3 linked regions of the Tribolium castaneum genome follow. The protein of the gene in region 2 purifies or fractionates together with the protein of the main gene of each other region. This does not show direct contact. Links are inferred from orthologs where the notes say so. Each region holds a gene or a part of one and is shown on either strand. Other genes may lie near its edges.

Evidence for each region. The genes of interacting proteins can lie anywhere in the genome.
Region 1: the proteins of Tpr2 (region 2) and Vps13B purify together in Homo sapiens (co-immunoprecipitation; 3 studies listed by BioGRID and IntAct, counting the BioPlex papers as one, with this or other methods). This does not show direct contact. The link is inferred for Tribolium castaneum from reciprocal best matches to the Homo sapiens genes DNAJC7 and VPS13B.
Region 3: the proteins of Tpr2 (region 2) and hob purify together in Homo sapiens (co-immunoprecipitation; 3 studies listed by BioGRID and IntAct, counting the BioPlex papers as one, with this or other methods). This does not show direct contact. The link is inferred for Tribolium castaneum from reciprocal best matches to the Homo sapiens genes DNAJC7 and BLTP2.

The regions. Positions count from the first base shown.
Region 1 is NC_087395.1:19,613,366-19,617,016, reverse strand, and holds part of Vps13B (intermembrane lipid transfer protein VPS13B), read right to left. Parts: intron 3,636-3,651; coding exon 3,471-3,635; intron 3,419-3,470; coding exon 2,358-3,418; intron 853-2,357; coding exon 1-852. UniProt on the Homo sapiens protein: Mediates the transfer of lipids between membranes at organelle contact sites. Binds phosphatidylinositol 3-phosphate. Functions as a tethering factor in the slow endocytic recycling pathway, to assist traffic between early and recycling endosomes.
Region 2 is NC_087398.1:7,331,325-7,335,650, reverse strand, and holds the start of Tpr2 (dnaJ homolog subfamily C member 7), read left to right. Parts: upstream 1-1,507; coding exon 1,508-1,641; intron 1,642-1,957; exon of another isoform or gene 1,958-2,069; coding exon of another isoform or gene 2,070-2,095; intron 2,096-3,612; coding exon 3,613-4,326. Other genes in the region: mRpL10 (large ribosomal subunit protein uL10m), read left to right, coding at 1-379, 428-621; uncharacterized protein LOC103313090, read right to left, coding at 637-864, 911-1,137, 1,184-1,445. UniProt on the Homo sapiens protein: Acts as a co-chaperone regulating the molecular chaperones HSP70 and HSP90 in folding of steroid receptors, such as the glucocorticoid receptor and the progesterone receptor.
Region 3 is NC_087399.1:1,812,038-1,816,169, reverse strand, and holds the end of hob (protein hobbit), read right to left. Parts: intron 2,277-4,132; coding exon 1,428-2,276; intron 1,381-1,427; coding exon 889-1,380; intron 843-888; coding exon 738-842; intron 691-737; coding exon 631-690; 3' UTR 522-630; downstream 1-521. UniProt on the Homo sapiens protein: Tube-forming lipid transport protein which binds to phosphatidylinositols and affects phosphatidylinositol-4,5-bisphosphate (PtdIns-4,5-P2) distribution.

The sequences.
Region 1 (3,651 bases), on a different chromosome or scaffold from region 2:
AGGATATCTTCATCGGTTCCGACTTGTCCAAACCTCAGATTCATATTTGTATCGTTACAAACGACATATCGAGTAAAAATCACCATATTGTGATCCGACTCGAGCGATTTCTGTGCCCACAATTGCGAATTCACCGTCAAAGTGTGCGCAATCGTTGGTCCGAAAATAACCCGTATCGGGTTCGAAACCAGCCCCAAAGTCAATTTCTTGGCCAAATTCAACTCAACTTTGAACGTAAACTGATCGATTAGCGTTTGTTCGGTGAGAAAAGTATAATCAATAGATGAGCACCTCAAATGTGAGGTCAGGTCGCAATAGAGCATGTCCGAGTCCCAGTGGGCCATGTGCAGCCTCAAATTGGTCGAAGTGACCTTCAGGAACGTATGGTTGGCTGGAATGGCTTGATCTGGGGTGAAATGCCGCAAAGTGATTGGCACCACTGATTTATCCTTGTCAAAGTGATTAACCAATGAGAGTTCTAGTTTAGAAACATACAACACTGTCGTGAAGTTAGGCACTATGGCTTTATTGAAGTAGGAGTCAATGCGCATGCAGGCCGCTAGGGCGCGTGGCGAGATCACACTTCGGTTGATTTTCGCCCCGTTTGAGTCCAAACTGGTCAAAACAACCCGCCAGATGTATGCTACCGCCCTCTGTGGCTCACTTTTGGGTAAATCAAGGTAGCAAACTTCACTTTCCGAGAGACTGAACTGGGCATAGGGGATGTAACTGCAGTGATAGTCGGACCAATACTGGAGACTACAAGTCACTTGGGTCGGTTCCGGATCGATGGAAATCTCAAGTGGGACCGGAAAAATCCGGACTTTGGTCAAAGCCCGGGGTTGGGGATACCTGAAATTAAAAAAGGAAAAGTGCTTTTCTGAATAACAATCAAATGTTGTGGAAAACATTAAAAAAATGATTTAAAATCTCGTGAAAACACCCATATTCCCTCGCATTTAAATGATATAAATAAAATCAATGAGGATTTTTTATTTGTTTTTAATTCTCCTCCTGAAACATTTAATTATTGTTTACAAAATATATACAATAAAGATTTTAAATTAATTTTCTTTTCAGCTGCCTACCATTGGAATTCACGATATAATCATTAAGCTTCAATCGAATTCGACAGGTTTTGATAGAATAAACGCCAAAGTGCTAAAGATCTGCAGTCCTGTTATTGATAAATACGTAACTCACATAATAAACTTTTGTTTAGAGTCTGGGTATTTTTCCAAATCCTTGGAAAACCACTCTAACGAAGCCGTTACCAAAAGTAAACCACAAAATTATAGTGACCTCAGGCCTATTAATATTATTTCAAGTCTTTCTAAAATATTAGAAAAAGGAATTTTCAAACAAATTTATCCTTTTATATAATTTCATAATATTCTTCCGTCTTTAAAACCGGGGTTTAGAAAAGGTTTCAGTACAAATACCATATTTTAGATAACAAAATCGTTATCATTAAACATTTTTATTCAACTTTTTGCATTTGGCACACCCTGTACATTATTTCCGTGTTTCAAGAAAAAGTCGACTATTTCCTAAAGCTGCAAGGTATTCTGAATTTTTCTGTTGCAAATTTGTCGGAAAATATTCATAGGTGACTTCGCAGCGATTTTTTAAAAATTGGTCTTTTTTATTAAAAAAAAGTTGAATAATACCGAAACGAAAAGAGATAGACCCATAATGGTTTACACACAGTACATTAATTTTTACATAGAATCTAATTAGTAATTATGCAAAATATATAGGCTGTTCCATTTAAAAAACACAACTTTGGTTTACCATCCTGTATTCAACATCCTGTGTATAATAAAAATATTTTTAGTTTGTGGATCAAACTTTAAGTCGATTTATCGGATAACGAAAACGACATGGCAATATTTCAAGTAACAAAAAAGTAAGACCGATTACGCATCCCTGGGTCACCCTGTATAATAATATGGAAAACCAGTTGAAGTCAAAGCCAGTCAACTTTTAAATACATCAGATAAGGTTAAATTGTTTATTACTTCAGTAATTATTCTTGTGCTGGTTTTGTTTTTCATGTTGTATTATTTTATTGTTATTATCTTTTTAATTTTTTCAATAATATTCATAACACATAGGTATCATCTACTTTTCTTTTAATATTATTTTAAATTATATTATTTTCTTATATTAACATTATATTACGTATTTTCTCTTCGCATTTATTTCTAGTTTTAGTTATTTTTAAGTTTGTATTTAAAAAAAATTGTTGTTTAGATGTGTTTTGAGAGAGGCTAAGTAGAAAAGCATTAGCTAGACTTCGCCTCCTCGCATTTTTTTTCTTTAATAAAAGCTTTTATTATTACTATTATTATTACCTCCAAGCCATGGCACTTGTCTCCTTAAAGTTCCAAAACATGACTTGATAAGGAAGTGGTAGTTCCTCGCTGTTGGCACTACTGGCTTCAATGAATTGGAATGCACCGGCCCTTAAATCATCTTTGTAGTGTTGGTCTTTTTCCGGGATTATTATTTTAGGTTCCGAGGGAACACTCGGTGTAACATTGAATTCGGACAGTTCTTTCATGATTTTTTCCATGCAAATAATCTGTTCAGGACTTATATCAACTAATAAACAATCGCTATCGATAGTGACGTGAATTTGGGGCTCACTATCATCGCGTTGCCATGACTCGACAAGAGCGCCAAACTCAAAACTAACAGTCCAAGGATTGAGGAGCAGTCTCTTCACATTGTTACTTGTCACAGTCAACGTCATACATTCCAAAGTCGTAAAACTTTGGATTTTTTCCGGTCTTTCACTCAAAAAGAGGCGATTTTTACTCTTATTTATCGTAAGAGTGGCGTCTAGATTATGTTCGGTTTCTACAACCACGACCAATTGATCGGTTTTAAACTGTACGGTGTCTATCCCTTTCAAGTTATCCCTGATGCGTCGAAACCAACCTACATCGGGTTCAACGTCCTGCACCTCACCCACCATTGGAAAATTTTCCATAATTTTGTGTTTTAGGGTAAGTAGCGAGGTAATTTTAGCCGGCGAGCACGCCAATTTGGTGGGCCTTGCAACGTCAATAACGAAATTTGCCATTTTTCCGTGCTCTTTCGTATATTTCATGGTAAAAAAAGCCGGGGGAATCCCCGTAGCGGGATCAGGGTGCCCCGACCGTGTCACTACCAAATCAACCGGGAAATCCTGCACTGTCGGTACGGACGAAATTGGGACGTTTTTAGAGTCGTTGAGTTTAATACCCACATCGAAGCACGATAAGTGAATGTTATTTGCAAATTGCTGCTTCGACGAGTAAATATTTGGTTGTGAAACGAAGAAGTAAAGTAAAGGGGTGTACTTTTTGTGGCTTCGGATCGCTTCATCGACGCTTTCTTCTTCGGAAGCTTCGTAATTGCGGTCCTCTTCCTAATATAGTTAAAACTGGAAATTTGGTTGGGTTTTACTTGCGAATACTTACGTCGGCGTATTTGGGTTTTTTGGTGCGGTGGCTGCCTTGATGGGATTGAGTAAAGCTGAATTGGTAGAGACAACAGGAGATTTTGCCGGCGGTGAAGAGGATTTCGGATGGTGTTTCGTCGAAGTTTTGAGATGGTACGGAAATTTTGTGTTTGTCTCTAGTAGGCTAAAACATTATGTAT
Region 2 (4,326 bases):
AGTACTAAAAAGGGCAAAACACCCATTGACTTGTGCACAAAATCGCAAGATAAAATTGTGAAAGATGAACACAACCCGTATCAGCAAATAATTGCAGGCGAATTGAGAATGTGGTTCAACACTTCGCGACTCATTGCCTTTTATCACTTGAATCCAATGAAATCAGACCAAAGGTTTAAAGCCTATGCCATGTTCAAAAAAAGCGACATGCTTTTTAAACAATATGGAAAGAAAACACTTGAAATCGCAGTCAAGGATACGAAATTTGAACCGGTTTTGGATTTTTACGTCTCGCAAAACATTATGGTCTTTAGTCCGCAACCGGAAGTAAAGAAATTGCTAAAAATCACGAAAAGGTTTCCCCAGCTTGTCTTACTAGGTATTGTATAATCCAGTTTTTGTTATTTTTAATTAATTATGCCTTTAGCTGCCATATTTGAGGGCAAATTTGTGAGTAAAGACGAATTAATTGAACTGGAAAAAATACCAAACTTGCAAACAGCTCAAGCAGCTTTGGTCCAAACACTCAACAGTGCAGCCACTACAATACATCAGCAGTTGAACCAACATCAAAGCACCCTTGTTTCACAACTCGAACAAAGAATAAAACAATTAGAATAGCTCAATAAATGTATTTCATAGATCATTTCTTTTTGCTTTTTTACCCTTTTTGCCTTTCCCTTTTTTCTTCCCTTTTTTACGTGGAGCGACGTCTGGTTGTACGCGGTGTTGGGCACATAGGGAAAAATTGGGCAAACACAAGAACCTGACCAAGGGCAGGTTTCTAAGATATAGTTTACAGAAATAAACCATATTGTTCTTAATTTGTTCCAAATTAAACAATTTGATACTATGTGGTGGGAACTAAAAATAATACAGTTTTTACCCACACTTGACCCCCATCACTTACTGGTAGAGAATGACACATTTGCAGTCCTTTAAAATACTCGTACAATTTTTCAGGACCAACATCCAAAACACTGGTGAAAAATAAATGAGTTAGGTAGAACTGTGACAACAAGGCCCCAGTTTGTTCCACGGTGTAACTGGCAGACGTGCAGAATTTAGTCACAGAGTACATCAACTCCCTGAATATGATCCGGGGAAGTCCCTTGGGCTTTTTGTGCAATTTTCCCTCTGCAACGAAAACTTGGCAAATTTTAAACGATTGTAATATTACTACCAATGAAATTCCTCTTGAGTCGTTTACTCTTAATGCCCATCAAGTGGATCACTTCAGGTTTTGTTAAATAATCCCAGGTGCAAATGTGTGGTTCCGCAGTTGGCAGTTTAACTCCTTTACAGGCCAAGTACTGGTCCGTTTGTGAGTCCGAAGTGTCGCTCTGAGTACTGTCGTCCTCTTGGCGCGTTACGAAGTAGTTTTTAATGTCGATTTCGTATTTGTTGGCGTTGAAGGCGATACTGTCAAACGCATTTCCATTCATTTCGTTTCAAAATTCCCGCGTTGGTGAAAATTTATCGATTGGTCACAAATTAGCTAGTGCGCATGCCCACAGTACGAATTTTGAATTCGGTGATGAATCGGTCTTACTCGTTTCACAACTTGTGCAAGATGGCAGATTTTGGGGAAGATGTTGTTATGGACTCTGAAGATTTGATAATTCCAAAAAATCCAGCCGAGTAAGTGCTATTTTACAACAATTAGATTTATTCCTCGATTTTGAGCACTGCTTTCGTGGGGTTTCACGTCGAAATGTCGATGACACGAGTGTCACTGACTCACATTTGTTACTGCAATTTCCCACAATTAATTGCTATTGATTCGGTTATTTCAGTGAACCACTTGGTGCGATTTTAAATTTGATTTGTGCAGTCTTAACGATTTCCGTGGGTTATTTTTAATCTAAGGTCGTACACCTTTGTAATTACTGGTTCACTCCTCCACAGTTCAGTGTTTATATTTGGTCCGGCGTGCAAATTAACAATTTAACCTTTTGTTTGGACAGTTATTTTATTTATAACGTGGATTTTATGGCCTTTGCATTATTTCTCCTAACTTGTCACTGTGACACTTTCGCGGTTTTTACCAATTTGTAACGAGAAAGACCATGGAAGTTGAGGATTGCCACAATATGTGAGTGTTGTTTTTGAATTTGTTTACCTCATAAATGGGCATAAGAACTGTAAGGTTCTCACTTTTAAATTGGATTATCTTTGTTGTTTATTAACGACAAATGTAACCTACCGAAGGAATAAACATTGACCACACGAGTGTTGGTTTTTGATAAGATAAAAACAATGTGATTTATTTACAAACTCTATTTGTGACTATGATTGTGATCAAAGTTGAAGAGAACCCAATTCAAAAAACCCTAATCTGGATGTGTAACGAATTTTTATCCACTAAGGTTTTTATTTCGTCAGAATATTACGACTTTGAGGTCCATGCTATAAGTTTTAAAGGGCTGTTAAAATTTAATCCACCCTAAAATCAGAAATCTAGCAATTTTATTGGTTGTTGCTATAGTAACAACGATTTATGGCCCTTAAATTTTCACAGTTTAGCATGTTAATTGGCTAGTTTGTTCTATATTTTTGCTTAGTCACGAATGAAAATCAGATCAATTCATTGATTAAATATTTACTAAATTAGAAAAACAAAAGTTAATATTTTCTTCTAATGAAGTATCGTTTCAAATCGCATGAAATTAGGGTAATATTGGTAGGTAGGTCATTTACTGGTTCACGTGTAGATATTGTTTCTGCAATATTGTTTGTTGCTCCTTGTCTCGGAGATTAGTGAATTAGCCCAGTTAAATTAAACAAAGAAATTCTTAGAGAGTTGGATTTTTTTAAAGCATTCTTTACACTTGGGTAGAATTATATCAAAAGTTCCCGAGGGTGGGGAGTGAGCTTGAGGAGGGGGAGGGGGTTAAAGAAGTATTTTTTGTTTTTTTTTTGTCTCGGAAACGGTTACTCCTATCAACTTTTATCTTCTTACCAAAATTAAAACTGATAAAATTTCCCATTTAATTTATCTTTAAAAAATATTTTTTTCTCATGTTTCTTATGGAAATCTCCAAGTAATTATTCAATTGGTTGGATTTAAATTAATTGAAAACGAATACCGTACTATTTTTTTGGGTTCAGAAAATCGTACGATTTTGTATCTCGTTTCGTCTCCTAAGTTATAGTTCTTCGTATTTCAGCTTTAACTTTTTTCCTAATGCCTCAAGTCCTTTCTATCCTACTTAATTATTTAAGATATTTTGTATTCAGACCCCGCACTAGGTAAAATAATATTTTATTCTTTGTCTTATGGCAAACTACTACCAAACTAAAACGGACAGAAGAAAATGAGAGAAAAAGTTTACAGTAGAGTAAGCTTTTTATGTTTGTTTGGGTCGTTATTTTTAATTGTTTTTAATAGGTTGTTAACATCGTTAGTTACTCAGCCAAATTCTTATTAAATTTGATAAGTTGGTAGTTATGTGAACTTCCGTTATATCATTGTTAATATTCGTTTTTTCCCCAGTTCTTTCCTATAATTTTCTGTCTTCATAGCGTGATTCACTCCATTAAAAGGCAATTTTCACTCATTCTGGTCACACTTAAGTTGCGTTGTTCCTGTGAAAGCCGTGCTTGTTTCAGGCTTGCCGAATTGAAAAAAGAAAATGGCAATCAATTATACAAAGTCAAGCAATACCGATCTGCCCTCAATCTCTACACCGAAGCCATCGAACTATGCCCCGAAACCGCCGCCTATTACTCGAACCGCTCGGCATGTTACATGATGTTGAACAACTTTCAAGAAGCATTGGAGGATGCACGCAAATCCATAACCATCGATCCCGCATTCAGCAAAGGCTACATTCGAATATTGAAATGCGCTATAGCCCTTGGCGACCTTACAACAGCAGAAAATGCCATCAAACAGATCAATCTGCTTGACAAGAACGCCAACATCAACAATGAAACTCGTTCGTTCGAAAAACTGAGACAGTTCGAAACAGAGGCAGCAAAAGCAATGGAAAAGAAAGACTTCCGAAAAGTTGTTTACTGCATGGATAGGTGTTTGGATGAAGCGCCAACTTGCACACGTTACAAAATAATGAAAGCCGAATGTTTGGCTTTCTTGGGACGATACCAGGAGTCGCAAGAAATCGCCAACACGGCCTTGCATTTGGACAAAACAAACGCTGATGCGATTTACGTACGGGGAATGTGTCTTTATTACGAAGATAATTTGGACAGCGCCTTTAACCACTTCCAGCAAGTCTTGCGACTTGCACCCGACCACAAAAAGGCTATGGACATCTACAAGAGAGCTAAAGAACTCAAAAAGACGAAGGAAAGTGGCAATGA
Region 3 (4,132 bases), on a different chromosome or scaffold from region 2:
TGGAAAAAAGTAATTGTTAGGTAACTAAATTAAATTATTATATTATTAAAGAAAATTATTAATTTGAATGGTATGCAACCAACATTACAACCATTTAACCGGCTAACGTGAACTAGCCAAACAATTCAATAAAAAACGTAGTTTCAACTAAATAGCGGCTAATTTACAACAAAATAGTTGGATAGTTTGTGAATTAATTCAAAAGTTGATTAAATAAGCTGGCTTAAGTTTATAAGAAACCTTGAAAAACAAGGTAATTTTCCATATTTTTAGCCGAAACATCTGGCTCACATTTTTTAAAATAAAAAAACAAAAGATTCCATAAAAAATCGATGCTTTAATAGTTAAAATGGGCTTAAAAACAAATCATTTTCCTACTTTTTTGTTTTAAAAAAATCTCAGTTGGCTGTTTTTCAGAAAATTCAATGAATAAAACAAGAACAAATCTTTTTTTTTTTAATAAAATCGACCACCAGAGAGCGCTTTCTCATAAAATGCTTTAGGGAGAAGAAACAAATGCATGTTGTAACAAATAAATATATTTGTGAAGCACACTTACGTACAAGAGAATAATTTACTTACATACAAACCACTCATTAGCGCAACTAACTAAAATTTATTCAATTTTCGTCATTTCCCAAACTTGAACACTCCACCTACGCCTTTTCTAATACTTTTATTTTCGGGTGCCTGAAACAATTCAATAAAAAAACACAAGAATTTTGTTTGAAACTCACATGTCTTGCACCAAACAACATCCTGGCTTTATCTTCTTCTTGCGGCGAGGAACTTTCATCCATTGAACCAGTATTTCGTTTGATTTGTAATTTTTGTTTAATTGCCTACAAAAAAATACAAAATCGTAAAAATGAAACCAAAAAAAAATACCTGCGAGAAGATAACACGTTTCGTGTCATTCCGAATCGCCATCAGGAAATCCAGCCACGTCCAGGTCATATTATGGTACTCCAAAGTGGGAATTACGAGGGAAACATCACGCAAATCCTCCAAATTCTTCTCCTTGTTCCCCTTATAACTGACTTTAACCGGCACTTCGGGGATTTTGATGTAAACAAACAACTTGTTTTTTTCCGCCCGTTCCTTCATTTTTTCCACATCGTCAATCAAAACGTAAAAATTCGAATCCCGGTTACGTTTCTGCGCCTTGGTTTTTTTCTTAGGTTCGTTACCGTCGTCACTGACACGGTCCGAATAATCGGCGCTTTCGCTCTCACGCTCCGGGAAACAAAACTTCATCATAGTGCTGTAAAATTTTTTGGTCATCCCGATTGTGAGAGGCACCAAGTTAATCTCAAAGTGTTCCTTGACGGAAATCCCGCCAACTGGGGGTTTCTCGCGGCAAAAAATGCGCAAAACTTTCTGGAAAAAATAGTCAACTCCAACCAAAAAAACACAAAAAATTAAACCTTGTATTCGATCGGCATCCCGTGCTGGATTTCGCTGGGACACAGCACTTCCTTGTAAATTTCATTCGGTAACAAGTTGGTCATTCTTAGGTAACCCAACTCGAGCAAGTGCTCGACCGAATCGTCATTTTTCGAGTTCTTGGTGTACAAAAAATTGCTCAGAACCAGATCTGCGATCCCGATCTGGCCGTCAGCTTCGGTCAAACGCCACTGCGCGTGTTTGAAGCAGATTTCATTGGCCCTAACTATAGTCAAAGGCTTGTCGCTTCGGGTGGTCGCAAGGCGGCTATTAGTCAACAACTGTGTCTCCTTGTAACACGACAGCATCATATCCAACTCCTCACTCTGCGCATTTAGTTGATTTTTGCACTCGAAGACTTGCTTCTCCAACCGATTCATCTCCTGCACCAGCTCCATATCGTTGGGATTCTCGGCCAGAGCCTTGCTCACCAGATACGTCTCCTTCTCCAGCCGCCGCAATTTGCTAAAAGTGGACCGAACTAGCGTTTGTTGGTTCTGGATGGGTTTTCTCTGGTCGTCCAGACTGTACAATTGTTGGAAGCGCATTCTGGCCAACTTCTCAAGAGCTTCCTTCCGGTGTGGTTCCACATACAGGAGTAAATTATTGACGATATCGAGCAGCATCGCGTATTGGAGCGAGTTGGTGCAGACGTCCAGGTCGTGGTGCATCAGGGTGAAGGCGTTGACGGCGTTTTGGCGGCGGTCCCACGGACCCACCTCCTCCTGTGGCGGCGGCGGCACCTCGGCCACCGCCTCCGGGTCGACGCTGATGTCGCCGTAGCCGGCGTAGAAAAACTCGCACTTGCAACGCGAGACTATTCTTTGCAACTAAAATAAAAATAATCATCCATATTATCCCAAAAATTTTCAGCAAAAAATTTGACAAAAAAATTAATAAATCTTAAAGAAATAGCCTACCTCTTACTTTTGTACACATATTGGACACTTAAAAGTTTTTTTTCTCTGAAATATTCAACAATAATTACTCGTATTTTTTGATACATGTTTGGAGGAAACTTTTGTCTTAAAATTGAAAGTTCTATCACCTCTTTAAATTTGTAACAATAAAGACGGAACACCCTGTATGAATACACTTTTGAAGAATTTTCTCATAATACTGATGATGTTTCTTATCTTGTGTTGTAGGTCTCTTATGTATTTAAATAAAAATTTATGTTTCACAGTTTTTTTTTTCTTTCTTTTTAATTATAACAAGCTATACAGGACTTTTTACACTTAAGTATATAATTTTATTACGTAATTAATGCCAGCAAAATATTCAGTTAGTTCAGATTGTTTAACGTTTTCTTTTAAAGAATTCATGGCCAAATCTCAAATTTTTCTCAGAATTAAATTTTTTCGCTAAAACGTCTGGAGCTGCAGTTACGATTTGTAACTCTATCATAGTTAAACTTGTGTCAACTTCTTGGTCTGTGCTTTCTTCTTTGTTTCCTTCGTTTGCACTCAAGCACTAAGCTTCTTATAACTGTATATTTCTTAATTATTGTCAGAACTCCTTGTTTTGTAGATTTATTTATGATAAAAAATAAAGTAACTTGAAGTCACTAAAGGCTAAATTTGTTCTCAACACATAGAAGAAATAAATAAGCGAAATAAAAGCAATGGATCGAAAAAAAAATTATTATTTTTGGAAATAAAAAAGTCATGTGCAATTTTTTTGCATTATTGATATCAAATCTTTGCTACCATGTGTCTGTTAAATGTATATTTCGAGATTACATTTTTACATAAATTTTTTTCTAGAAAAAAAGGTAACAAATGTTACAAATAGATTCATTTCCATTGAGCTGAAGATAGGCTTTAAAGTCAGAGACTTTTGAATGTTTAAGTGAAAAATATTACAAATGTTGCTATTGAATAATTATAATTCAACAGTTATTCCAGTTTAACGGACGGGACACTGCATTTTTTAAATTTTATTTTCAGTTTTTACGAACAGAATCAGCAGAAGTGATTTTTTTTTTTATAAGAACTTAGTGTCAGTAAAAATGTTTTGAGTAAAAATAAATAAAAAATTAAACAGTAGAAATTGAAATTTATTGGCTTTGTAATAAACGTGTTTGAATAACGGACGAGACAACAAAAGTTACGAAAAAAATAATCTTATTAATCAATCTATTTACCGATTTCCATTTTCTAAACTACCACAAACTGGAAAAAGACTAAAAATTATTTTTTTGTTGGTAACATTTCAAGCCTTCTTTTTAATATCTGAATCCTAGATTATAAATACTATTTTAAAACACGTTTCCCATAGCAACGTGTTTTAAACTAAAATGTTCCAACAGCAAAACTTGGAATAACACTCATAACGAAAACGCTTAAAGTTCTCGGGTGTCTAGGTATGCAACTCGCATACGCTCGTTGCATAATGACAGCCCTGTGTTTTCGCTCTCGTATTATTAATAACTATTCGGAAATAAAATTAACTAGACGCCCTCTGATAATGACTTTTGAACTATGTCGAAAACAGTAAAGAAATTTTCGTAATGCCACATTTAACTGACATTTAATGAATTGTTCAACAATTTTGCGTGTATAGTGTTAATTACTTACAATAGAAAGAATTACTTTAAAAGTACGTGGTGGTAAATACTAGCGTTGACTTTGGTTCTGTAGTTTTTCGTGGTATAAAGTGTTTATTGTTGGAACTTGAAAGTGGA